Linked DNA regions of Neurospora crassa OR74A. The protein of the gene in region 5 binds, or shares a complex with, the protein of the main gene of each other region. Links are inferred from orthologs where the notes say so. Each region holds a gene or a part of one and is shown on either strand. Other genes may lie near its edges. The genes, in order: NCU00040, NCU03876, NCU02813, NCU07831, NCU07380 and NCU05889.

Region 1 (4,267 bases), on a different chromosome or scaffold from region 5:
CGGAGAAGGCGCAAATGGATCATTGACTGTCCCGAGGATTGAAGAGAGGGAGGAATTGCGGACAACGATGCCAGGAATGCTTAGGACCGACACACGATTGACGATTCCTAATAGCAAGTCTTGGGAAGAGAAGGGGCGCCCATATGGAAGTTCCTTCATTCCTTCAGTGCCACTGGCGGGCCCCGGACCGCGACGGGGGTCAGTGCGCAGCCTGTAGAACCAGTAGCAGCGCAGCAGGGAACGGTTCGGTAGGCGGGTGCAGTCCGTGCAATTCCCCAGCAGGCATGGACGCCCCAGTCTCCCCCTGCTTGGCCTGCTGCAGTGCTGCGCTTTTACCTGCACTTGCACTGCTGCAATGCTGGTCGCTTTCGGTGCTGCACTCCTCTTCTGGGCAGCCAAAGCAACCCAGGGCGACGAGGAAAAAAAGGGCCAAGTGCAAATGAGACGGACCAGGGGGTCGCTTAGCAGGGTTTGGTTAGATTAACTCGACACTAACTACGACCGTAGACGGAATGGGTGCAGACGAGTTAGTATCAAGACAAGATAGCAAGTATCACCACGAGCTCCGCATTCAGGATGAGGTGCCGGCCTCCCTATTGTCCTGCCCCATCCGTGCCATTGTGATTGACATTGTTGCAAGCTTCTGGAAGCGGGACTGGAGGTCAAGATCTAGGAAAAGAAAAGCACGATGGAGGCCGTTGAAGATGGACTGCTGCCACCGCCGCTGGATAGGCAGGGACAGGACTAGTCCGACCAACCGACGGGACCTTTTTTGGATCTGTCGGTGCTGCTGTGCATGAAAGCTGCAGCAAGAATGGCAAATGCAGGGCAGTCAGAACACGACGGGTTCCGCCCCCACTTTATCGTCCCCCCTTTGATGGTCTAGCGGAACCACCCCGGCTCAGCAGGCATCTCCGGACGGGATTGGGAATGGCGCCATTGGGTGGGTGCCCACTTGCTCCGACCGATGATGGACGCGAGCTTGAACGCTCTGGGTGGGACGACGAGGGTACAGAGGAGAGCCTCCTGTTTCTGCATGTATGTATGTATGTATGTATGTACACTACAGTAATCACAGACCGTGAAGTCCTATGCAGTTGCTGGTGTGCATTCAGCTACAGGAGAAGAGTTTGCAGCCACTCTAGCAGTTCAAGCAGCGATATCATATGCCTTTTAGGAGGATATATGTTCTTACTGGGGATTATCTTCTCAATACTCGACCGAAGTTCGCACCACGATTCTGTTCCAAGTTCCAACTAAGCCTCAAAGTGCAATTTCGTCGATGACAGCCGTGAGAAAGCTTGGCAAGACCGCCGACGGTCCGTCATCGGTCAAGGCGGGGGTCCGTGGCCCGGCAGAGAAGAACGCCCGTCGCCAGCGGGCTGGGAACTCGGGCACAAAGAAAGAACAAAAGCCGCTGTGCACACACACCATGGAGCTCCTTTCTAGTGTACACCAGACTGGACAGCACCAGACGCCAAGATGGCAGAACATCCCACTTGCCCTTTGCGACAATCCAACCTTTTTACCATTGTGCACAATAGCCTCACAGCAGATCACGGTTAAGATCAAGAAAATAATTGCATCTCAGTCAATCCCCATTGCTACAGAAGTGACCAAACATCCATTCGCACAACAACTTGCACTTCACGCCTCTGAGTTGTTGTCGCAGCGACGTGCTCGATAAGCTGCATCACGTGACTGTCCCGCATCATCCCAGCCCACAAAGTGCTCCTCAGCAAAATCGAGCCTCTAGCCTTGGCCAGGGCTTTTTTGGCTGGCAACGAACTGAACTTCTCCACGAGGCGAAAAAATCGTCCTGGACAGCGCAGCCTCAGCCAAAGTCTCCAGCATTTCTACGTGCTGCTTTGCGCGCCGCGTCCCCTATCACCACTTTATCCATATCTCCTCCAGATTAGCCAAGTGCCGAGGAGTTGCCCATCATGGTGAGTTGGGAATACAGCCATAGCCTTATGGTTATGGCTTCGAGTTCATATAATCTTCTGCCCCTCCTTTGACTGGAAAGCCAACTCCATCGTCACCTAACCTCATCACCGCCCACCCTGCCCTCCACCCCCCCCTTCAACCCTCGACCACCCCCGCTCCCCGCCTGTCCCGCTCACCACCAAGTGTCGTCGTGTGTTGTGACCCGTGGTGACCATTACTGATCATCAACAGCCTCCCCCACCTCACCAAAAGCCTGAGAATGTTCTCAAGCGCGCCCACGAGCTCATCGGGGTCAACCAGGCCCCCGCCGCCCTGACCCTGCTCCACGAGCACATCACCTCGAAGCGCTCCCGCAATGTCCCCATCGCCTCCCTGGAGCCCGTCATGCTCCTACTCGTCGAGCTCTCCGTCGAGCAGAAGAAGGGCAAGCTCGCCAAGGACGCCCTCTACCAGTACAAGAACATCGCCCAGAACACCAACGTCGCCACCATCGAGTTGGTTCTCAAGAAGTTCATCGAGCTCGCCGCCGAGAAGGTCACTGCTGCCCAGGCCAAGGCCGACGAGGTCCAGTCCAGCATCGAGGCCACCACCTCCAACATCGACGATCTCGAGGCCAGCGAGACCCCCGAGTCCATCCTGCTCGCTACCGTTTCCGGTGAGCAGTCTCGCGACCGCACCGACCGCGCTATCGTCACTCCTTGGCTGAAGTTCCTTTGGGAGGCTTACCGCACTGTTCTTGACATTCTCAGGAACAATGCCCGCCTCGAGGTTCTCTATCAGAGCACCGCTATGCAGGCTTTCGACTTCTGCCTCAAGTACACCCGCAAGACCGAGTTCCGCCGCCTCTGCGAGCTTCTCCGCAACCATGTCCAGACCGCCGCCAAGTACTCGGCCCAGATGCACGCCATCAACCTGAACGACCCCGATACTCTTCAGCGTCACCTTGAGACCCGTTTCCAGCAGCTCAACGTCGCCGTTGAGCTCGAGCTCTGGCAGGAGGCTTTCCGCAGTGTTGAGGATATCCACACCCTCCTCAGCCTCAGCAAGCGCCCCGCCAAGAACGTCATGATGGCCAACTACTACGAGAAGCTCACCCGTATCTTCCTTGTCGGCGAGAACTACCTCTTCCACGCCGCTGCTTGGGCTCGTTACTACAACCTCTTGCGCCAGTCTGCTGCTCTCATTGCTTCTGGCCACAGCAAGAAGGCTGATAACCCGGCTTGCAGCGATGCTGACCTCCAGAGGGCTGCCACCTTTGTCATTCTCTCCGCCCTCTCCATTCCCGTCATCAGCACCTCGCGCTCTCGCGGTGCCATGGTGGACTTCGATGAGGCCCGCAAGAACAAGAACTCTCGTTTGACCCACCTGCTCGGCATGGCCCAGGCTCCTACCCGTGCTGGACTCTTCCGCGATGCCCTTTCCAAGTCGCTTCTCCGCCGCGCCCAGCCCCAGATTCGCGATCTTTACAACATCCTCGAGGTCGACTTCCATCCTCTTTCCATTTGCCAGAAGATTTCCCCCATTCTCGCGGAGATTGGCGCCGATGCCGAGATGCAGAAGTACATCCTTCCTCTTCAGCAGGTCATTCTCACCCGCCTGTTCCAGCAGCTTTCGCAGGTGTATGAGACTGTCGACCTTGAGTTCGTCGAGAGCTTGGCTCAATTCCCCGAGCCTTTCCAGGTCACTCGCGGCACCATTGAGAAGTTCATTATGAACGGCAACAAGAAGGGCGATCTCGCCATCCGCATGGACCACGCCACTGGCGTTCTTAGCTTCGATGCTGATGTCTTCTCTTCCGCCAAGGCTGTCCACGCCGGTTCCTCTGCCGGCTCTGCCGAGAGCGAGACTGGCTCTGTACAGCGTCTCCAGAGCACTCCCTCCCAGATTGTGCGCTCTCAGCTCACTCGCCTCGCTGAGGCTCTTTACACCACCTGCCGCTATATCGATCCTAGCTTCAACGAGGCTCGCATCAAGGCTCGTGATGAGGCCCTTGCTCGTGCTAAGGCTGGAGCCGAGAAGGAGCACCAGGAGGTCCTTGCTCGCAAGGAGATCATCCAGACGCGCAAGGATAAGGCTTCTGAGGCTCAGGCCCAGAAGGAGAAGGAGAACGCTCGCAAGAAGCTGCTCCAGGAGCAGGCCCTCCAACAGGCTGAGGCCGCCCGTCTTGCCGAGGAACAGAAGCTCCGCGAGGCGAAGCGTCTTGCCAACGAGCGCGAGCAAATCAAGAGGAAGGAAGTTGAAGCCCTCCTCAAGGATATGAAGCTTGAGGAACTTCAGGGTGAGGACATCGAGACCCTTGACAGCAACAAGATCCGCATGA
Region 2 (3,727 bases), on a different chromosome or scaffold from region 5:
CTTGTCCCGTATGCTCGACTTGAATGCGCCGCCGTGTGTTCAGCGACCCGTGTGCGGACAGGGATGTGAGACAGCTTCCGGCTCGACGCGACTTCCTTGACGTGGAAGACACCCTCTGGATGAAGCTGGAGATGGCCATGCCTACACGACGCAGACTGGTACTGTAGAGCTAGAAGAAGGGTGCAGTGGTCTTTCTGCGTGCGTGCTGTAACAACATCACACTGAACAGCAGCGGACGCAGGCTCGGGGTAAGGGATATTCAGAAGCTCAAGACTTCCGCCCGGCCAAGCTCTCTCGACGCCCCCGGGCACCTCCACGACGGGGTGGGACCAGACGGATTCGGGACCCAGGGGTTTTCTGCGCCGCACAGAAGAGTCACAATGGGTTCCCGCCTAGGTAGACGACGGGGGATCGATGTCGAGGATCCAATGATCGCCGGTTTGCTGGCGGGAATAGAGGTTTCGTGATTTGTGATTTTTTTTTCTTTTTTTTTTCTTTCTTTCCCTTCTCGAGGAGTCACCGAAGGTGAGCGTCTCAAGACGTGCCGCAAATGACCAGTGTAAATGTGACAACAAAACGTGAAGCCAATGAGATAACCTAAATAGAATAGAGCCCAAACCCAAGCTTCTCAAAATAGTACGTATTCACCATGCATTCTTGCAAGAATCCTACCATGTCTCGTTAGAAAAGCCTCTATTTCCGTCTACAAATCTCCGAGAGTTGAAGAACTTTTCCTCCTCGATGCGACCCCCGGAAGAGGGCATTCATATAACTGCAATTGAAGTGGGTGTCTAGATGCTGCATCCATGACTCTACAAGTTCTCGGCTTGCTGCAGGTAGCAGCTCGGATCATGATGTGCTCGCACTGTCCTGTCTGTGTCGTTGTTCTAGATTGAAGTTGGTGTGGCTTGCGGCCGCGGCACAGGCTTGACGAATACAGCTGACTCTTAAACTCTGAGTCACAGACTGAGCCACAACTTCTTATCGGTGGCTGTCGACGGGCCGGCAGGCTGCGAGCGGCGGATCGAGGTGGCAGGCTGCATCGCAAGGTCCAGAGTCCGGTCCGAACTGAAACCAGCAGCTTCAATGGATGGCACACGGCTGGCTGGGACGAGGGACTGGAGAGGGGCAGCTTGGCATCTGCAGGGATAGGTGTTGGTTCGCCCCGCGGCCGTCAGAATCCGCCAGAGCCAGCCAGCCTATCGCGCACAATCTGCGGAAAAATTACTGGGAGTGGAAATCCACCCAAAGAAAGAACACCAAAGACCGATCCGACGACGACGACCGCATCTACAAAGACACTAATCCACCCACCTACCTCCCAAGTCGTGCAACCCCCCCCCGCGATATTTCTCGACGACGAATCCACTCAGTGTCTTCTAACGACCATAACACTTCCATACCGCCGTCCACGCCTCGTCATATTTAATAACCCACAATCAAGATGAGGCCCATTCTTCTTTCGGGCCACGAACGTGCCCTCACCCAGATCAAGTTCGTCTTCCCTCCGCATCATCATCGCATACCTTACCCGCCGACCCGACCCCTCTTGGTGTTCTGGCTTTGGCATGTCGGGCATATAGAGATGCAGCCTCTAACAGCAACCCTTTACCCCCAACAGGTACAACCGCGACGGTGATTTGCTCTTCTCAGTTTCCAAGGACCAGCAGATTTGCGTTTGGTTCGCGCACAACGGCGAGCGTCTCGGTACATACCACGGCCACCAGGGCGCCATCTGGACCATTGATGTCGACCCCACATCCACCATCCTCGCCTCTGGTTCTGCCGACAACACCATCCGCCTTTGGGAGATCAAGACCGGCAGACTTCTTAAGACATGGGACTTCCCTACCGCCGTCAAGCGCGTTGAGTTCAGTGAGGATGGCAGCAAGCTTCTGGGTGTGACGGAGAAGCGCATGGGTCATCTGGGTACCATCGTTGTCCTCGACATCAAGCTCGATGTTGACGCCGAGCAGAGCGATGAGAAGGCCATGACTATCGTTTGCGAGGACAGCAAGGCCACTGTTGCTGGCTGGAGTTATCTCAGCAAGTACATCATTGCCGGCCACGAAGACGGCTCCGTCTCCCAGTTCGACGGCAAGAACGGCGACCTCCTCTACAACATCCCCATCCACGAGCTCAACCAGCCCATCACCGATCTCCAGTGGTCGCACGACCGTACATACTTCATTACCGCCTCCAAGGACAAGACCTCCAAGGTATGTCACATGGCTCCACAACCCCCCCCCCCCCCCTTTTTTTTTTCTTTCTTTGGTCTTCTTCCCGGATCCTTAAAACCGAAATCAATGAACAGTCAATCGCATGCTAACACTCCTTGATTATTTTCACAGCTCATCACAGCTAAGGACCTGGAGGTCCTCAAGACCTACCCCGCCGACACCCCTCTTAACAGCGCTACCATCACTCGCAAGAAGGACTTCGTCATTCTCGGTGGTGGTCAGGCTGCCATGGATGTCACCACCACCTCCGCGCGTCAGGGTAAATTCGAGGCGCGTTTCTACCACAAGATCTTCGAGAGCGAAATTGGTCGTGTGCGCGGTCACTTCGGTCCCCTCAACACGGTTGCCGCCGACCCGACCGGCAAGAGCTACGCCAGCGGTGGTGAGGACGGTTACGTCCGTATCCATCACTTCGACAAGGGTTACTTTGACTTTATGTACGAGGTCGAGAGGGAGAGGCAAAACAAGCTCAACCAGCAACAACAGCAGACCATTTCTGCCTAAACGGATCCCTTCTATCGACATCGATCGAAACTTTCGGACTTTCAGCAAGCAGGATCCGAGGAGGGGCGGCAGAAAGGGGCGGAAAGGCGATTCGCGGGACGAAATATGGGTGTCGTGTTATTGAGTTCAGGATTCTCTCGACTTGTCGGAGGAAGGAAATGAGCAAACGGGTTATTTTACATCGCGCGTCCAGGGATCCAACAATTTGGGGGAAATGGGCATTTCACAAACGGCGTTTTTTTCAGGCAACCTAATCTGAGAATTTGGGCGATTCCACCCAATATTTGGTGAAAAAAAAAGTGAAAAGGAGCAAAAATTGGAGCGATGAGGTGGTGCGGTTCGATGTGAAGCAAACGAACGAACAAGTGAGTCGCGCGGAGAGCGGATATGTAATTTCCATCTTGTCACGAAAGGAACCTTTGGTCCCTATCGAAGCACAGAAGAGTCATTTGTCATAGTTGAATTCGGTCGTTCTTCTGCTTACTATCTTGCGCAACCTCGTTCATGTGATATCAGATTGGACGTTATAAGTAGAGGTCTTTCGCCAATTGCTTACTCACTCCCTTATGGTCAATAAGAATCCAACACAAGTGGAAACAATAATACAGGGGTAAAGGAAGTACAAGACTGCGCACATCATGCCCTATTCATCCATCAGAGAACGGATTTGACCAAAAGGATATCTTTTGTTCCTCAGGTAGGCAGAGAAATCCCTCGCTAAATGACGGCAGGTGAGATAACCATCACCGAGACCGCAACATGAATACGACACAACGGAAACGCCGCGAGCCAACTGCATTAACCCTCCCTGGACTCTTCTCAGTGGTGAACCGAGCCCCTTCACCCAATCTAACCCAGTCATATGAAACGCAACTACAGCTTCGAATACCAAGCCAAGTCAATACATGTGCCGTAGCTTGTATTTTTGGTCTGGACCACCATCAGGCGGTCTACTTCTTCTTTCCCTTGGGGGCAGCCTTGCC
Region 3 (4,196 bases), about 2.9 Mb from region 5:
GGTGGTGACGGCGCCGGGCTGGGGAGAATGACTGACTGAGTGAACTGAATGATGCTACTGTGCAGTTCGCGAGGGACTGGGATAGGCCGCGGGCAGTGCTAAGGTATTGGGGGGGGGGGGGGCCTCCACCAGAAAGCAACCATACAACGTCAGGGACTCACAGTGTACATTACCTTACAACCTAGGCCTTGATGACCGCGCCCCAAGTGGAAGCTTCCCTTTTCCTCACTTTCTTCCACTTTTTCGCTTGGAAATCACGCCGCGCCTCGCCATAACTCCACTCTTTTGGCGCGTCTAAGTCAACAAATCCACAGAAAGGGAAACAGCATCCAGTTGACAACATTGATTTTATTCAGTGCTCTATGAAATATCCACGTGTATATACAATCTGAGTTATACCCCCACGGGGCTTTGTTTACTGTTGCTGTCTCTGTACGCTAGGTACACTTGTTGACTTTCTTTCGGCGGTGCACACCCTCAGCCCTGGTTGAATGTCACCATGTGCATTGCATACATAGTAGCGTAGGGCTGGTTGGTCATCACTCTTTTTCTCGGGAATCTATTGTGGGTTCATTGTGACTCTTCACCATCCTTCTGGGCTGTCAGGCGTGCCGGTCATTTGTTATTTTGAGACTCCCATCACGTCAGTGGAAAAGGGAAGGAGCTGATACAATATCCTCAGGCTGTAATGGAAGGTGGCCGTTGCCCGGGTCACCACCACACTTTTAAGTGTCTGCCTGGATATCCGATTCGGATGCCCCGTGACCCCCTCTTTGCTTCCCGCTTCTGTTTGTGTTTTAGGTGACCTAGCTTACAAAGGTGACTGTTGCAACTGGCTAGAGTCCCATTTTTGTCCTGATGGATACGATGGTGAAAAGTCGAAAAGAAAATATTCGATGATGTAGCGAGTTCAATAGTTTTGTTTTGATGCAGCCGAATACTCCAATCAAGGTGTGTCGTCATTCCCGTGGTTGATATCTCCACAGCCCACGGCAAGTAACTGCGAACCTCGATCGAGTGCATCACATCATATAGGAAATCATATTGTTCGAGTGGTCAGAAATCTCGACTTGGATAATGGATTTGTCAAGTTCGAATCCTTCGATTATTCATCAGGTGCGTTTGTTGATATCCATGTAAGAGAATCATGGATGGGAATGTGACTTTAAGAAGATCGGATTTGGAGAAGCTGGGGACAATGTCAAGCGCACGGTGACAAGCAAAGGAAAAGGGACTGAAGCCCGGGAGCTTGACATTGTCAAAGACCTCGCTGGGACGGACCACCCCATGGGTCAGGGTTTTCTATGTCACAAGCAGATGACTGCAATAACCCTGACCATCGACACAGCTCCTGCACGTGACTGGCTGGAGCACACAGAACAGCTCTTCTTCAGCACAGGGCAAAAATAGGCGGTGGGCTTGGCATTGGAATGCGGGGCATTTTTTTGCTTTGAGAAATTGGGTCGAGGGTCCGGTCAGGTCTCTGTCGTCCATGGGATGAGAGAGGGACACCACACCACTCAGCGAGTCGAGGCCCAGGAACTGTGCAAAGAAAAAGAAAGAGCGGAGCCCTGCCACTAAGAAAACTTCCTTTGGGGCCCGCCCCTCCCTCCCACGTCTGACAGGATATCCGTATCGTTTCCGGCCAGTGTCGACCTTTAGCACCAGGACATACTATCAGATTGTCCCCGGCCATATTTTCCCCGTCGCCGTGTCCCCCGTCCGTCCCTGACTCCGTCCCGCCGTGTGTCTCGCCTCAACCCGACCTCACTCCAGCCTTGAGGTCCAAGTGGGAATAGTTCGATAGCCCCGTCGTCAAACAACCACACACGCACACACACACACACCGTCAACACCCATCAACATGGCTACCCCCCAGTTGATCTTCGTCGACGGCACCTTCGCCGAGCTGGCGCAGGAGATGGCCGACTTCGTCCAGGTCGGCGAGCAGGTCCAGCCTCTCCTCGAGCAGGACAAGCGCGAGGATGCCCTTGACCTCATCGTCAAGGCCTCCCACTCCCTCAACGCCGCCCCCGAGAAGGACTTCACCCCCGCCTACAACCTCCTCATCCACCTCGTCCTCCAGTCCGAGGAGCCCAAGAAGTACCTGCCCACCCTGTGCGCCAACCTTCTCAAGCCCATCACCTCGTCTCCCACCCACGGCTTCACCCTGGCCTCCAATGCGCTCACCACCATCTTCAACCTCCTCGACAAGTCCAACCCGCTGCGCTTCAATGTCTTTATGCAGATCGTCCGCTTCATCAGGCAAAACAGCCAGTTCGACCTCCTCAAGCCCAGGTTAAAGAACGTCGAGGGCTGGCTCCAGGAATGGAAGTCCGACTCGGAGAGCCAGCGCAAGCTCTACGTCGAGGTTTCCGATGCCGCCAACGACGGCGGTGATCAGGAGTGAGTATTTTACCTTTTATAGCATCATGCATTGTGCACCTTTACGGCTTCATGCTAACCTTTGGTCTGCAGGGAGTCCTACTTCTACCTCCTCAAGGCTCTGGCCACTTTCGACCGCGACAACCAGGACGAGGTCGCCTCCGACGAGGCCCAGAAGCTCTCCCTCCGCGCCCTCCGCATGGCCATCTCGTCGCCCACCCGCTTCGACTTCAACGACCTGCGCTCGCTCCCCTCGGTCCACGCCCTGAGCGACTCGCACCCCGTCTACTCGCAGCTCCTCGACATCTTCACCGAGCAGGACCTCGAGGACTACAACGACTTTAGGGACGAGCACCAGGGATGGATCGAGAACGAGAAGCTCGACCACGAGAAGCTGCAGCGCAAGATGCGCCTGCTCACCTTTGCGTCGCTCGCCGCCAGCACCCCGAACCGCGAGATCCCCTACGCCAGCATCGCCAAGGCCCTCCAAATCCCCGACGAGGACGTCGAGATGTGGACCATTGACGTGATCCGCTCCAAGCTGGTCGAGGGCCGCCTGTCACAGAAGCAAAAGGTGTTCTTGGTTCACCGCACCACCTACCGCGTCTTTGGCGAGAAGCAGTGGCGCGAGCTCGGCACCCGCGTCGACCAGTTCAAGACGGTCGTCGATAGGCTCGTCGGCGTCGTGCGCAAGGCCCAGACCGATGTCGAGGCCCAGCGTGAGCGTGAGCAGCAGGAGCTCGAGCGCAAGCTGGCCAACGCCGGTCTTGGCGAGTCGGAGCAGCGCGGCGGCAACCGGGGAGGACGTACCGGCGGTGCCAGACAGACGAGGCAACGCACGGATGATGATGACTGAAGGGGGGTTGCCAACAGGATGTTTTGCTGCAATAATTGGTTGTTGTTGTTAGTAGCATAGAGATATGGGGGGACCTTTCAAAAAGAAAAAAGAGCGATGTCTTGCCCCTGTATCATCCCGCTCGGTCATCAGTTCAGTTCAGTTCATTCGAATGGGAAAGGAATTCTACATCAAAACGGGTTGTTGTTGTTATCTATCAAGGAGTTGTGAGCCCCAAAAAAATACGGAACACTATTTTCAAGGTAGAGCTGCTACACTTTTTGGCGGATTTGCATTTTTGTTGTTGTTGTATCATTCCGAGGAATGGCAGCTTTAGATATCCAGCAATCATCAGGTTTTCTCTCTCCATTTATACATCAGTGATGGATGATATGATGCGTGAGGGCAAATCCAGAAAGGTGGAGTATAGATCATGATACCCAGGATATACAAGGCAACGGAAGCGTAATATCAATGCTTTTTGAGACAAGGTCTATGACCACCAGCAGCAAAGGGAACAATGAATCATCATGCTCAGGCTTCCCAACGATGAATAGTATAAACGCAATACCAAGCCATCTCGACATCTGGAAAAAGACAGAGCAAGTTCAATTTCCAAACGGGAGAAAACCATCCCCATCCATCCACGAACCGCCTCCGCGACTCCATCGCTCCGTCCCTTTCCAATAAATCTGTAGTAGTGTATAGTATTTTAAAAGTTTTTATCTAATGGAACGGCCAACCCCATCTCAGAATTAGTACCTAGAAACCAAGTTTACCTCAACCCCCCATCCCATCCCCGGAGTAAGACAAGTCAAGTCAATCCCCCCCCCCCCCCTACACTAACTAAAACTTATCCCCAAACACCCTCCTCAGCTGCTTTCTCGTCTCCTCATACACCTTCTCCGGCCCCGGCGTCGAATCCACCTTGACCACCTTTCCTTCCCTCTCATAGTGATCCACAACCGGCATGCTC
Region 4 (4,223 bases), on a different chromosome or scaffold from region 5:
GCATGGGGCATGAACTTGAGCGCCCCAAGATAGCTGCGCTTGTCACTGGTGTACTTTTTCTGCGAAACATCCCCAATATCCTTGACGATCTTCCGCAAGTGCTCTGGTGGCATGTCGGCCTTTTCCGTCTCAACAAATCCGCCCTTCCTCTTCTCGCCGAAGCGATTTCTCTGCATGCGAAGCCATTCCTTCTTCTTCTGGGCGAACTTGGCAACATGAGGGTCGGTTGGTGGAAAGAACCCAGGCGGCGGCGGTGCTGGGAGGGCAGGAGGAGGTGGGAGAGAGGACGGAGGCGGCGGCGGCGGAGGTGCTGATGGCGGCGGAGGAGCGCCCCAGCCGGGGGGAGGAGGTGGTGGTGGCGGATAGGACATTTTTTCGATTTCTGCTTGATGAAGCTTTGTTGACGTTTATGTGGTTGTTTCGTTGTAATCGTCTTCGTCAGAAGCGTGTACCAGTCGGCGTTGGCGACGAGATGGATAGAAGGCTGGATACCGTGAAGTCGCCTGTCCGCGCGATGGCGGTTTGCAGTCCGCGTGCGTCGTTCCAAGGCCTGTCTCGCTGAGGAAGAGAAAAAAGGACTGGCAAATATTAGATTCCCATTGGTTTTAGATGGAAATGGGCGTAGGTCGACCTCGCACCAAATCGCGGCGATGGTCGATCAAGCTGAGAATGGAGAGGTGGATGTTGTATTCGTGAAAGTGTGGTTTGGTGGCGCCAGGATGCTGGCGTTGACGTTGGCAGGTTGGCCTCGTTACGAAAAACTTGAACAGCCTCGCGACAGCTGCGTGGGCGGTCGATAAAGTTCAGAGGTCAGGGCGGGCGGTCCAGGTCCTGGCGCGCAAAACGGGAAACCTGGCAGCGGGATTCTTCGCTGTGCAGGTGCTTGTTGGCAGCTGCAGCCCGGTAGCGTCCCCGCCACTCCAGTTAGTGAAAGAGGGCCTGGGGTTGGTTGCCTGCAGCGACTGGGCAGGCTGGGCTGTCACTTCTCGACTTCGTGGCGAAACGTCTCCTGTTACGTACTGTAACTTTCGATACGCAATCCCCGTTACGTGGTAGATCTGGCTTGACAAGCTCACAGCACGTCTCAGATGCATGTAACCGAGTATAGTGATACATTATCAGTTCAGGTAGCTGATACATTGAAGGTGGGGCATCAGCTGGCTGGCTGTTTGCGCCCAAGTACCCAGACGACAGGTGTTGAATCTCATAGTGAAGGCCTGACAAAGCAATGCTTGATATTGTTCCCTCGCTCCGCTCGCCAAAGTATACACAAAAACCCGTTCCTCTGACAGATCCCTCATGCGAACATCTGCAAGGTTCAGACCTTATCTTCATCTTCTAGGAATCCCGTCCTGCGATCTCCAAGCGGAAGCAGGTACATTCAGCTCATAAGTTCAGCCTCCCCCCCGCGGAGCAAGTATCCTCTCCCCCCACACCCCTTGCTCGGATTAAGTCATACCCAATCATTACAGCGCTCGAGGCCCAAACAGCTCCGCTCGATTCGCTAAGCCCCAAATCGCCCCCACCAAAACGGCCTTTCAGTGAAAATTAATTCTTTGACCCCTCTGTCCGCCTCGCCGCAGCCGGGTTTTGCTTTGCCAACCATCCGGACCATCACCACTTCCGTCCACCACTCCAAGTACCCATACCGGTAACCCGGACTTCTGCATCGCGCCCATACCCCCGGAACCCGCATATTTATTCCGAGTCTATCGAAAGAGACCGCAACCATGTCTCGTTTCTTCCGCGGCGGTGACGACAGCTCCACCGACAGCAGCTCCGAGGAGGAGGAGGTCTACACTTCGGAGGAGGAGGAGGAGAAGGTTCAGGCCGAGGACGAGTCTTCGTCTGAGGAGGAGTCTGACGAGGAGGAGAGCGACGAGGAGTCCAGCAGCGACGAGGAAGAAGGAACCAAGAAGAAGGGTGCCTCCCGTTTCTTGCAGAGCGACGACGAGTCCGAGGAGGAGGAGGAAGAGCAGAGCGACGATGAAGCCACCACCAAGGTCAAGAGCGCCAAGGACAAGCGCTTCGACGAACTCGAGTCCACCATCAGCCAGATCCAGAACGGCCAGAAGATCAACGACTGGAGTCTTATCGCCAACGGTTCGTATATCTTTCATGCATGCATACACCCTCGATATGTCCTGCACCGATACTTACTCCCCTCCCCGCTTTAGAATTCGACAAGCTCAACCGTCAGGTCGTCAAGCTCCAAGATGGCAGCAAGGCGCCCAAGTCCTACATCAAGGCCATTGCCGATCTTGAGGACTTCATGAACGAGACTCTCGCCAAGCAAAAGGTCACTCCCAAGAAGATGAACGCGACAAATGCCCGTGGTCTCAACGCCGTCAAGCAGCGCATCCGCAAGAACAATAAGGAGTACCAGACCCAGATCGATGCCTACAGGAAGGATGCGGACGCTTTCATGGAGTCGGATGATGAGGTTGCCGCGCCCAAGGTTGTTTCCAAGGTCCGGTTCGAGGCTCCCGTCGTCAGTGCTGAGCAGCAGGAAGAGGACGACAAGGGCTTCTCTACGGTCGATTCGCGCGGCAAGGTTGTTCAGTACACCCCCGAGAGCATCCTCAAGCACCTCCGCGCCATTATCGAGTCTCGCGGCAAGAAGAACACCGACCGCCTCGAGCAGATCAAGGTTATGGAGACCCTCAACAAGGTCGTCCCCATTACCCCTTACCAGAAGATCCGTGTCCTCCAGACCCTTATTTCTGCCCGCTTCGATCTTGGTGCTGGTGGCGCCGCCCAGATGCCTTTGGACCAGTGGAAGGCCGCTGAGCGTGACCTTGCCTCTCTCTTGGAGATCCTCGAGAAGGAGAAGGACCATGTTGTTGTTGAGGGCGCTGAGGAGTGGGATGATGATGACAAGCTCCCCACCATCCCCGAGGGTGAGAAGTACCTCAAGGTTCCCGGCAGCGTTGTCTCGCTCATTGAGCGTCTCGATGACGAGCTCACCCGCTCCCTCCAAGCCATCGATCCTCACACCTCTGAGTACATCGACAGGCTAACCGATGAGGGCTCTCTTTACAACACCATCTTCCGTGGTCTTCTTTACTACGAGCACCTCCGCAAGGATGCTTCCCTCGAGGTTCCCCAGGAGAGCTTGAACCGCATCATCCAGAGGCGTCTGGACCATGTTTACTACAAGGTATGTATAGAGCTAATGCTGGAATACTCAGCCGTCTTTGCTAATCATCTTCTTTCAGCCCGCCCAAGTCGTCAAGATCCTCGAGGAGAACGCGTGGAAGCAGGTTTCTGCTGAGGCCGATTCTGAAATTACCCCCCGCAGCCAATCCGGCGATGCTGGCAAGCTCATCAACATCCTTTCTAACTACCTGTTCGAGAACAGCGAGGGCATCATCCGCGCCCGTGCCATGCTTTGCCAGATCTACTTCTTGGCTCTGCACGATGAGTACTACAAGTCTCGCGACCTGATGCTCACTTCCCATCTTCAGGAGACTATCGCCAACTTCGACATCGCCACCCAGATTCTCTACAACCGCACCCTCGTTCAGGTCGGCCTTTGCGCTTTCCGCAAGGGTCTCGTCTACGACGCCCAGAACACCCTCCAGGAGATCTGCGGCAGTGGCCGTCAAAAGGAGCTTCTTGCTCAGGGCGTCATGATCCAGCGTTACAGCCAGGTCACCCCTGAGCAGGAGCGCCTCGAGAAGCAGCGCCAGCTTCCCTTCCACATGCACATCAACCTCGAGCTCCTTGAGTGCGTCTACCTTACCTGCAGCATGCTCCTCGAGATTCCTCTGCTCGCCCAAACCGGTTCTTCGCCCGATGTCAAGAAGAGGATCATCAGCAAGACCTACCGCCGTATGCTCGAGTACCATGAACGCCAGATCTTTACCGGGCCTCCGGAGAACACCAGGGATCACGTCATGCAGGCCTCCAAGGCCCTTGCTGCTGGTGAGTGGAAGAAGGCCACCGACTTCATTCACAGCATCAAGATCTGGGACTTGATGCCGAACACCGAGGGTATCAAGACCATGCTCGCCAAGCAGATCCAGGAGGAGGGTCTCCGTACCTACCTCTTCACCTATGCTCCTTTCTACGACACTCTCGCCATTGCTACCCTCAGCTCCATGTTTGAGCTCGACTCTCGCAAGGTCTCTGCTGTCGTCAGCAAGATGATCAGCCACGAGGAGCTCGCGGCTGCTCTTGACCAGGTCACCGAGACCGTCATCTTCCGCAAGGGTGTTGAG
Region 5 (4,001 bases):
CAGTCGGCAGAAACAAGGGAGAAACGGAGATCCATGTTGCTCGTCTTCAATGCTGGAGGGTTCGACAACTTTCTGATACACGAGAGAAAAAGGGAAGGGAACAAAAGCAACTAACAAGTGCCCCTTGGTTCTACCTTTTTTTAGACTCGAGCGTCCATGCATGGAACACATGACATGGCTACTAGAACGAGGAACCGGCACCGAAGACAGAGCGCAGCGAGAGCCCTGCGGCCACGCACTCATGGCTTCCTGTCCCCCCGAGCCCTTCTCCGAGCTATCGCCAGAGAGCCCTTTCGGGCACACCAACACCATTCACGCTCACGCTCACGGTCACCCCCCGATGCCTACTAGCATAAGCGGTGGTGGTCAGCGCACATGGGAACTCAGCAAAGCCGACCTGGCTACGCTGCTCGACCTAAGCAAGCGGCTAGATCTCGACGGGGAGATCACTCCTGTCATGGCTTGGGGGATGATCCTCGCTCATCCGCGGCTTGCCGAGTTGCAGCTGGAGGACTTTGCGCGGTTGACGGAGGAGTTGGGGAGCAAGGTTCGGTGTTACGGGTAGGTTTTGCCTTTCAGTTGCCGAAAATGCTTTCCTTTGCCTGTGTCTGTCAAAGTGAAGCAATGGATTGCTAATTTGTTTCTTCGGCGTGGTTGTAGGTTTGGAGCTGTGATGGAAGAGTTTGAGGTTAGGGATGCGTTGGAGAATCTGTTTTCGACAAAGCCGGATGGAAGAGTGTTTGAGGATTTTTGAGAGGACGGTGCTGGTGCGGTCGCCTATAATAGCTGGCTCGACGACTGATGAGGGAGGCCTTGGCAGGTATCTTTTTGTAAACATTACCTACCCATGTTTAGACAAGCTGGAAACTAAATCAGTTATCACTGAACCGGCCTCAAAATGCCATTCAGGGCATGATGGAATCCAAGCCCTCTCGAGAGGGAAGTGTCAGAATAATACTAGCAACACCGAGCAAAGGCCAACAAAAGATGTCAAAGAAAGGTGTACCGGAAATGGTGACAACATGAGCGTTGGGCTTGCTAGGGTGAAGACGGTGAACCTACTTACCTGAAATCCAAGATACTGATTGGTCAGTTGCTCGTCGGTGAACCCCCATGCCCGCCACGGTGTAGAGGTAAGGAGCTAGGTACGGAGAGCCCCACACCACACAATTACCCCACCCTGCGAATTTCTGAGTTTTGGGGCAATTTGCTGCACGGCCCGGACAGCAGAATCCCACAGCGACACAGCCCCGGCGAATTCGAAGCAACCCCTCCGAGTCCTGGGTCCTCTTTTTATTTTTGTCTTTGCCAACTTGCGCCAGGTCCCGACTATCGATATTATTCCGATATCGTTTCATCGCCCACATACGACAGCCAAATCATGACAAACCCTACTCCTGGCCTTTCGGGCCTCGTCGACCTCATCGACTCCCTCCCCGACCTGGGTGCCACTTGGGGCCCCGCCATCACCACCGAGACCACTCTCAATGGCGTCCCCTACGCTCCCTACTCCAAGGGCGACAAGCTCGGCCGCATGGCTGACTGGACTGCCGATTCCAAGGATGGTCGCGACGGCCGTGGCGGTCGCCAGCAGTACAACAGGAACTTCCGTGGTGCGTTATCCTAGCCGGCCTCTGTCCTCTTCATGACCCTTTTGAGGTCTGGATGAGAGTGATGATGTTTACTAACTTCCCACTCCAGACCAGCAGATCTACGGCGCCGGTTCCACCTCCATCTTTGCGCCCCCCGTCGCCGAGGACGAGTCTTCCTTCTCCGTTGTCTCCAACGTCAAGGATACTGGCAAGACCCGCTTCGGTCGTGGTGCTGTCTTTACTAGAGGCCGTGGCCAACGCGGCGGTGCTGGCGCCCAGGCTGGCAGGGGTGGTGGCCGTCAGACCTTCCAGAGGACAGGTCGCGGTGGTCAGCAGTACGGTGGTGGCTACGACGGTGGCCGCGGTGGCCGCCAGAACACTGGTGCTCGCGGTCGCCGCTTCGGCTGGAAGGATTATGACAAGCCCCAGCGCAACCGTGATGCTTCGATCAACATCAAGGGTGACTGGAAGTTGATTGAGGAGATTGACTACAACCGTCTCAGCAAGCTCAACCTCGAGACCGACGAGGGTGAGGATGTCGATGACTACGGTTTCCTTTACGCCTACGACCGCTCCTACGACAAGCCCGTGGTCAAGAACGCCGAGCGCAGGCTCGCTGCCATCGACCGTGCTGCCTACAACGTCACCACTTCTTCCGACCCCGTCATCCAGGAGCTCGCCGAGAAGGACGAAGCCACCATCTTCGCCACCGACAACATCCTCTCCATGCTTATGTGCGCTCCCCGCTCCGTCGCTCCCTGGGATATCGTCATTTCCCGCCAGGGCAACAAGATCTTCTTCGACAAGCGCGACAACGCCGCTCTCGACCTTGTCACCGTCAACGAGAACGCCGCCGACGCTCCGCTCGACGCTTCCGAGGGTTCCAAGGATGGCATCAACCAGCCCCACGCCCTTGCCGAGGAGGCCACCTTCATCAACCACAACTTCGCCAACCAGGTTGTCGTCGAGAACGAGTCCGAGAAGGTCAACATGGCCCACGAGAACCCCTTCTACAACGCCTCCGAGGAGAACGTTCCCCCTGCCTCCAAGGCCTACAAGTACCGCCGCTTTGACCTCTCCACCAGCGAGGAGGAGTCCACCTTCTTGGTTGTTCGTACTGAGATCGACGCTGTTCAGAAGAATGCCACCGACGGCAAGAACCAGCTCGTTACCGTGCACGCCCTCAACGAGTGGGATAGCAAGGCCCAGGGCGCTGGCGGTGCCCTCGACTGGAGGACCAAGCTCGCATCCCAGCGTGGTGCCGTTGTCGCTACTGAGATGAAGAACAACAGCTGCAAGCTCGCCAGGTGGACTGTCCAGTCCATTCTCGCCAAGGCCGACGTCATGAAGCTTGGGTAAGTTTTGCGCCTTATGTTGATCAATTCTCAATACTAACCACTCTTTCTTTTTCCCCGATAGTTTCGTCTCCCGCGTCAACCCCAAGGTCAACGACAAGCACGTTATTCTTGGCGTCGTTGGCTGGAAGCCCAAGGACTTCGCCAATCAGATGAACCTCCAGCTCTCCAACGGCTGGGGTATTGTCCGCACCATTGCCGACATGTGCCTCAAGTCCGAGTCTGAGGACGCCAAGTTCGTCCTCGTCAAGGACCCTAACAAGAACATTCTTCGTCTGTACGAGGTCCCCGCCGGCAGCCTCGACGAGGAGGCTGAGGAGTTGGACCAGGTCGAGGAGGATGGTGAGGAGGCCGAGGAATAAAATACCTTTGGGCGTGTAGAATGGGTCATGAAATAGAAGAGGCTTTTGCTGAAAAGGAATAGAAAGCCTCTATAATGCAAACTGTGTGGGAGGGTTATGAGGATTTGGGGATCTGAGCAAGTGCGATATGCTCTCCCCTGGACCGATGGGAAGCGGAGAATAAAAGCAGTTTTATTATTCAGTTAAGGAGCGTTTTTTTGCTACTTGTGTTTTGAGATATATGGTTGGTTTCTTTCGAAGGCGTTCATCAACCGAGAATGTCACTCATGGCAGGACTTTCATATGCCGTCTCGAGAAACAAAAAGGTGGTCTGCGTTGACAAGACTGAATGGAGACATGGGCGTGGCTCGTGTAGCGTACACAGTATTTGGTTCAGATATTATGCAGCGGCTTATGATTGCGGGGAAATACCCATAGACAAAAATTTCGAAGTCGACAGACTTTGAAAGGATAGTTGATCGCTCGCGCGTCAATTCAATTGTCTTGATTCTGGCGATTCTTTGTTGAAGGGCCACTCTAGTCTCACGTGACTTCGCGACGCTTTTTGGCGTTTGTTGCTTCCCTACCAACGCAGATTTGCCCCTCGCGTTCTTTGCCGGGCCCGTTTGCTGCCCGTTTGTTGCCCGCTTGCAGATCCATCATGCATGTCTTCGCCACTGCGACTGAATAGGTACTAACCCACAACTCCGGCT
Region 6 (4,145 bases), on a different chromosome or scaffold from region 5:
ACCTGTCCTTTCTGCTGCAGGTTTAACCCTCTTCTTGTTTTCTTATCGCCCTATTCTTTTCTCCCATCTCAACCCGTTGTCCATTGTCCCATGATCTTCGAACCTCTACCTCTTTGCCTCTCTTTCCGAACTTCCAACTCTTTTCCGATTTCTCTTCCATTCATTCCCTCACTCTTGATGTCATACTGCCTCACCCTTCTTGCAAATAGCAGCAAACCGGCAATGCAAAAAAACCAAACAAAAAAAACTTACATCAACCTCCAAATGTCCTGTCGGCACCTTCACCCGCACCTCCTTCACCTCCAGCCCCAAGAACTGCGCAAGATCCCTGCGCAGAGCCTGGCCATCACCTTGCACCTTCTTGATCTGGGTGAGCTTCTTGTTACCACCGCGCTTGGCGAGGTGGTAGACGGGCAGACGCTGGGTCCAGGCGCGGCCTACTAGGTAGGGCTTCGCAACGGGTTTCGTGGATTCTGTTGGCGCGGCACCGGTCTGGGTCTGGATAGGGGTGGTGGGTTGTGTGGTGGGCTGCTGCTGCTGCTGCTGCTGGAGTGGTGTCGTTGTTGTGGCTGTTGTTGTTGGTTGCGATGCGGCGGCAGCGGCGGAGTAGAATCGGGACTGGAAGGCGGCGCGGACGGTGAGGGGCGTCGCGGGCTGGACGATGGCCCGGGAGAGGCCGAAGAAGGTCGAGCGGAACATGGTTGTGGTGTTGTGTTGTGTCGTGTGGTGGTGTGGTGGTGGTGGTAAAGACAGAAAGAGGTCGAATCGATCGAGCTGGGCTCGGTTGGTCGCAACGGGATCTGATAGGTAGGTAGGTAGGTAGGCTTGGCTGGGATCTGGAGTTAGGTCAGACTGGACCTGCGCTGCGGCCAAGAGGTCCCCGTTTCGGATGAGGCGCGTTCAATTGCTGGCTCGCTGGAGTCGGATCGGTCCCGCGTCCCGTGCCCTGGGCCGTGTTCCTCTCGGCGCGGCGGGTCCGTCGTCGGGTTCTGGAAATTTGGTCGGTACTCGGCAGAATTATTGACCGCCCGGGCGTCCCCGCGTAGGTACCCGCGCAGGTGCTCTGCCCCCCGTCCGGCGGGATGTGCGCCGAGCGAGAGGGACGAAAGCCTGAAACTGTGTGCCCAGGGCGTTCGCTGAAGCTCCAGGCCTTGGGGTGCCTGATCTGGGCTCTACACTTACCCCTCCCGTGGTGCCTAGACGGAAGTGGAAGTGGAAGTGGCACCGCATTCAGCTGCCGTGCAATTGTTGTGCGACAGAGGCAGCATTGAACCGAATTCGATGGCCCGTGCTTTTTGTCACTGGTCAGTGGTGTCAAGCGCATTTTCCCAATTTTCGACCCCACCAAAGATTGACGACGGGCCACCACAACTGGACGGGGTCACAAAGAGAAATTTGGCGGATCGCATTTCCAAAGCGCCTGGCAACTGAACGAACGAAGCTGGAGACCGGACACGCCCTTTCCATCCATATTCCTCTTCCTTTCACTTCTGATAGTAGTCGACCGACCCTCCCCCGGCCCTCTATCTTATCCCACCCACCGTAATACCCCCCCTCTCTCCTCTCCAGGCCTCGACTCGACCCGATTCCGACTTGACCTTGTCGTCGTCCACTCAGTGTCGTCTGTCATCACCACCATCCAACATCATCACCACCACCATAGTCACAGACACACAAATCCAAAACATGGCTTCCACATCCCCCGCCACCACCAACGGCGACGTTGCGCCCGCCAACTATGACCTCGTCCTCAAGCTCGCTCCCCATCTCGACCGCCACATGATCTTCCCTCTCCTCGAGTTCAACGCCGGCCGCCTTAAGGAAGATGAGACCGACAAGGCTCGCGAGATCCTCGCCGCCAAGTACGCCCTCCTCAAGAAGACCAACATGACCGACTACGTCGCCAACCTCTACTGCGAGCTCGAGGGTCTTAAGGAGCCCCCCGCCGAGTACGCCGAGCGCCGCCAAAAGGTCTTCCACCAGCTCGAAAAGTACGAGCAGGAGACTGCCAAGATCACCGAGCTGCTGCAGCGCGACGATGTCGTTAACAACCTCCGCTCCGACAAGGTGGCCAACTTGGAGTTCTTGAAGAAGGAGCACGACGTACGTCCTACTTTTTGTTTCCATCGGCACATGTGGCTTGTAGTACATGGCTAACCCCCATATCCTGTGCAGGTCACCATCGACATGGTCAACGCCCTCTACGACTTTGGCCAGCTCCAGTACTCGTGCGGCAACTACGCCGACGCCTCGGAGCTCCTCTACCGCTTCCGCGTCCTCTCCACCGACAACGACAAGGTCTCGTACGCCACATGGGGTCGTCTCGCCTGCGAGATCCTCACCATGAACTGGGAGTCCGCCATGGAGGAGCTGCAAAAGGTGCGCGAGAGCATCGACACCAGGCTCGCTAACAACCCCCTTGCTCAGCTGCAGCACCGCACCGAGCTCGTCCACTGGGCCCTCTTCCCCCTCTTCAACTACGACAAGGCCCGTGAGCCCCTCCTCGACCTCTTCTTCAACGCCGGCTTCATCAACACCATCCAGGCCAACTCGCCCTGGATCCTCCGCTATCTCACCGTCGCCGTCATCACCAACCGCGGCCGCGCTAAGAACGCCGGTGTCCACCAGAAGCAGATGAAGGACGTTGTTCGCATCGTCAAGCAGGAGGCCTACGAGTACCAGGACCCCATCACCCGCTTCGTCCACGCCTTGTGCATCGACTTTGACTTTGAGGAGGCTCAGCAACAGCTCGTGCTTGCCGAGGAGGTCCTCAGGAGCGACTTCTTCTTGCTCGCCCACGCCGATGACTTTGTCGACTCGGCCCGCCACCTCATCTTCGAGAGCTACTGCAAGATCCACGCCCGCATTTCGCTCAAGGACCTCAGCGCCCGCCTCGGTCTTAATAACGACGACGCCGAGAAGTGGATTGTCAACCTCATTCGCGACACCCGCCTCGACGCCAAGATCGACTACAAGGAGGGTACCGTTGTCATGAACCACCCCCCGAGCTCCGTGTATCAGCAGGTCATTGAGCGCACCAAGGGCGGTTTCTTCAGGACGCAGGTTTTGACTGCTGCTGTTGCCAGATAGGCGTGTGACAATAGCGGCAGTGGAGAACTGACTGATGGTGGCGGCAGAAGTATACCCGGGTCGACATGTCAGGAAAGCAAGGGCGATAAGAGGATTGTGAAGGAATGATTATGGCATGGGCTCGATCGCAACGCATGAAAGCGGCGACTGATTTCTCGTCGAATGTGAGACCAAGATTATCGCCGACGATTGGAACGCGGCGAGCATCAAGTGGCCAGGCGAACTCAGTCGCTTCATGGCAGGCGAACTGCTTCAGCGTATGGGCTTCAACTTGACCAGGACGAGTCTCGGATAGATCCCCTCCCAGCATCTTTTATGCCATTGCAATGAGAGGATTTGAAAGTGCGAATCCAAAAAGGGTTAGCGATGCATTTCGAAGAATAGACCTTTTTTTTCTTCTTTCGTTCTCATCTGCCTCGATAGTCTTCTCTATCTCTCAGCGTTTGGCAATTGTCGCTATTTGTCGTGTGGGCATGGGCTCGGGCGGTAGAGGCAGCAAGGGAATTAGGACAATGGAAGGAGGCCTTTTACGTCATGACAACAACCGGTGTAATCATACCTCTTTAGTGTGTGTGTTTTTTCTTTTTACAGGCTTCTCATCAGGCGTATCAAAATGGTTATGGCTCATTGCTTTTAGCTGGCTTATGAGTCAGGTTGCCTTTCCCATCAGTAACATTGTTCATCGCATCATGGTAACCTCCACTTGGTCCCTTCTTTATAGCAACTGAGCTGGGGTGATCAACCAGGAAAAACTGTGGCAACCAATTATTGAGGTATGCTCCTTCCCTTCCTCCATATCTGCGTGGTATCGTCCATCTCCCGCCTCTTCCCTTTTCACTCTTCTACCAGGGGCATTCTTATTTTCGTCCTTTCCAGCCTCCAATCAACATACAATATCCAAGCCACCAAGTTGGGCAGTTGTATTTGTCGCAGAACGACCAATGGCTGCCCGATACAGTTTCCAGCTAGGTAGGTTCATACGGCACAGGCTGACAGGCTGCAGCTGTATTGATATGGCGTTACCCCCGCTTCGAGTCCTTGTCTCCTTGAATTTT

What was found.
Region 1: NCU07380 (region 5) and NCU00040 share a complex: the UniProt entries of both Schizosaccharomyces pombe proteins name them as parts of the eukaryotic translation initiation factor 3 (eIF-3) complex. The link is inferred for Neurospora crassa OR74A from reciprocal best matches to the Schizosaccharomyces pombe genes moe1 and tif301.
Region 2: NCU07380 (region 5) and NCU03876 share a complex: the UniProt entries of both Schizosaccharomyces pombe proteins name them as parts of the eukaryotic translation initiation factor 3 (eIF-3) complex. The link is inferred for Neurospora crassa OR74A from reciprocal best matches to the Schizosaccharomyces pombe genes moe1 and sum1.
Region 3: NCU07380 (region 5) and NCU02813 share a complex: the UniProt entries of both Schizosaccharomyces pombe proteins name them as parts of the eukaryotic translation initiation factor 3 (eIF-3) complex. The link is inferred for Neurospora crassa OR74A from reciprocal best matches to the Schizosaccharomyces pombe genes moe1 and tif313.
Region 4: NCU07380 (region 5) and NCU07831 share a complex: the UniProt entries of both Schizosaccharomyces pombe proteins name them as parts of the eukaryotic translation initiation factor 3 (eIF-3) complex. The link is inferred for Neurospora crassa OR74A from reciprocal best matches to the Schizosaccharomyces pombe genes moe1 and tif303.
Region 6: NCU07380 (region 5) and NCU05889 share a complex: the UniProt entries of both Schizosaccharomyces pombe proteins name them as parts of the eukaryotic translation initiation factor 3 (eIF-3) complex. The link is inferred for Neurospora crassa OR74A from reciprocal best matches to the Schizosaccharomyces pombe genes moe1 and int6.

What each region holds. Positions count from the first base shown.
Region 1 is NC_026503.1:2,375,198-2,379,464, reverse strand, and holds the start of NCU00040 (eukaryotic translation initiation factor 3 110 kDa subunit), read left to right. Parts: upstream 1-1,467; 5' UTR 1,468-1,943; coding exon 1,944-1,946; intron 1,947-2,178; coding exon 2,179-4,267. UniProt on the Schizosaccharomyces pombe protein: RNA-binding component of the eukaryotic translation initiation factor 3 (eIF-3) complex, which is involved in protein synthesis of a specialized repertoire of mRNAs and, together with other initiation factors, stimulates binding of mRNA and methionyl-tRNAi to the 40S ribosome.
Region 2 is NC_026506.1:1,995,036-1,998,762, reverse strand, and holds NCU03876 (eukaryotic translation initiation factor 3 subunit 2), read left to right. Parts: upstream 1-1,182; 5' UTR 1,183-1,444; coding exon 1,445-1,494; intron 1,495-1,621; coding exon 1,622-2,219; intron 2,220-2,351; coding exon 2,352-2,744; 3' UTR 2,745-3,227; downstream 3,228-3,727. Other genes in the region: NCU03877 (C-1-tetrahydrofolate synthase), read right to left, coding at 1-139; crf4-1 (chromatin remodelling complex ATPase chain ISW1), read right to left, coding at 3,695-3,727. UniProt on the Schizosaccharomyces pombe protein: Component of the eukaryotic translation initiation factor 3 (eIF-3) complex, which is involved in protein synthesis of a specialized repertoire of mRNAs and, together with other initiation factors, stimulates binding of mRNA and methionyl-tRNAi to the 40S ribosome.
Region 3 is NC_026501.1:9,034,275-9,038,470, forward strand, and holds NCU02813 (eukaryotic translation initiation factor 3 subunit M), read left to right. Parts: upstream 1-1,408; 5' UTR 1,409-1,864; coding exon 1,865-2,406; intron 2,407-2,478; coding exon 2,479-3,241; 3' UTR 3,242-3,696; downstream 3,697-4,196. Other genes in the region: NCU02812 (uridylate kinase), read right to left, coding at 4,067-4,196. UniProt on the Schizosaccharomyces pombe protein: Component of the eukaryotic translation initiation factor 3 (eIF-3) complex, which is involved in protein synthesis of a specialized repertoire of mRNAs and, together with other initiation factors, stimulates binding of mRNA and methionyl-tRNAi to the 40S ribosome.
Region 4 is NC_026503.1:1,003,716-1,007,938, reverse strand, and holds the start of NCU07831 (eukaryotic translation initiation factor 3), read left to right. Parts: upstream 1-1,423; 5' UTR 1,424-1,730; coding exon 1,731-2,103; intron 2,104-2,177; coding exon 2,178-3,160; intron 3,161-3,218; coding exon 3,219-4,223. Other genes in the region: NCU07832 (pre-mRNA processing splicing factor 8), read right to left, coding at 1-371. UniProt on the Schizosaccharomyces pombe protein: Component of the eukaryotic translation initiation factor 3 (eIF-3) complex, which is involved in protein synthesis of a specialized repertoire of mRNAs and, together with other initiation factors, stimulates binding of mRNA and methionyl-tRNAi to the 40S ribosome.
Region 5 is NC_026501.1:6,147,114-6,151,114, reverse strand, and holds NCU07380 (eukaryotic translation initiation factor 3), read left to right. Parts: upstream 1-1,201; 5' UTR 1,202-1,381; coding exon 1,382-1,613; intron 1,614-1,701; coding exon 1,702-2,947; intron 2,948-3,011; coding exon 3,012-3,309; 3' UTR 3,310-3,805; downstream 3,806-4,001. Other genes in the region: NCU07379 (bZIP-type transcription factor, variant), read left to right, coding at 145-561, 661-754. UniProt on the Schizosaccharomyces pombe protein: mRNA cap-binding component of the eukaryotic translation initiation factor 3 (eIF-3) complex, which is involved in protein synthesis of a specialized repertoire of mRNAs and, together with other initiation factors, stimulates binding of mRNA and methionyl-tRNAi to the 40S ribosome.
Region 6 is NC_026507.1:4,174,229-4,178,373, reverse strand, and holds NCU05889 (eukaryotic translation initiation factor 3 subunit 6), read left to right. Parts: upstream 1-1,345; 5' UTR 1,346-1,686; coding exon 1,687-2,103; intron 2,104-2,175; coding exon 2,176-3,090; 3' UTR 3,091-3,863; downstream 3,864-4,145. Other genes in the region: NCU05890 (hypothetical protein), read right to left, coding at 253-699. UniProt on the Schizosaccharomyces pombe protein: Component of the eukaryotic translation initiation factor 3 (eIF-3) complex, which is involved in protein synthesis of a specialized repertoire of mRNAs and, together with other initiation factors, stimulates binding of mRNA and methionyl-tRNAi to the 40S ribosome.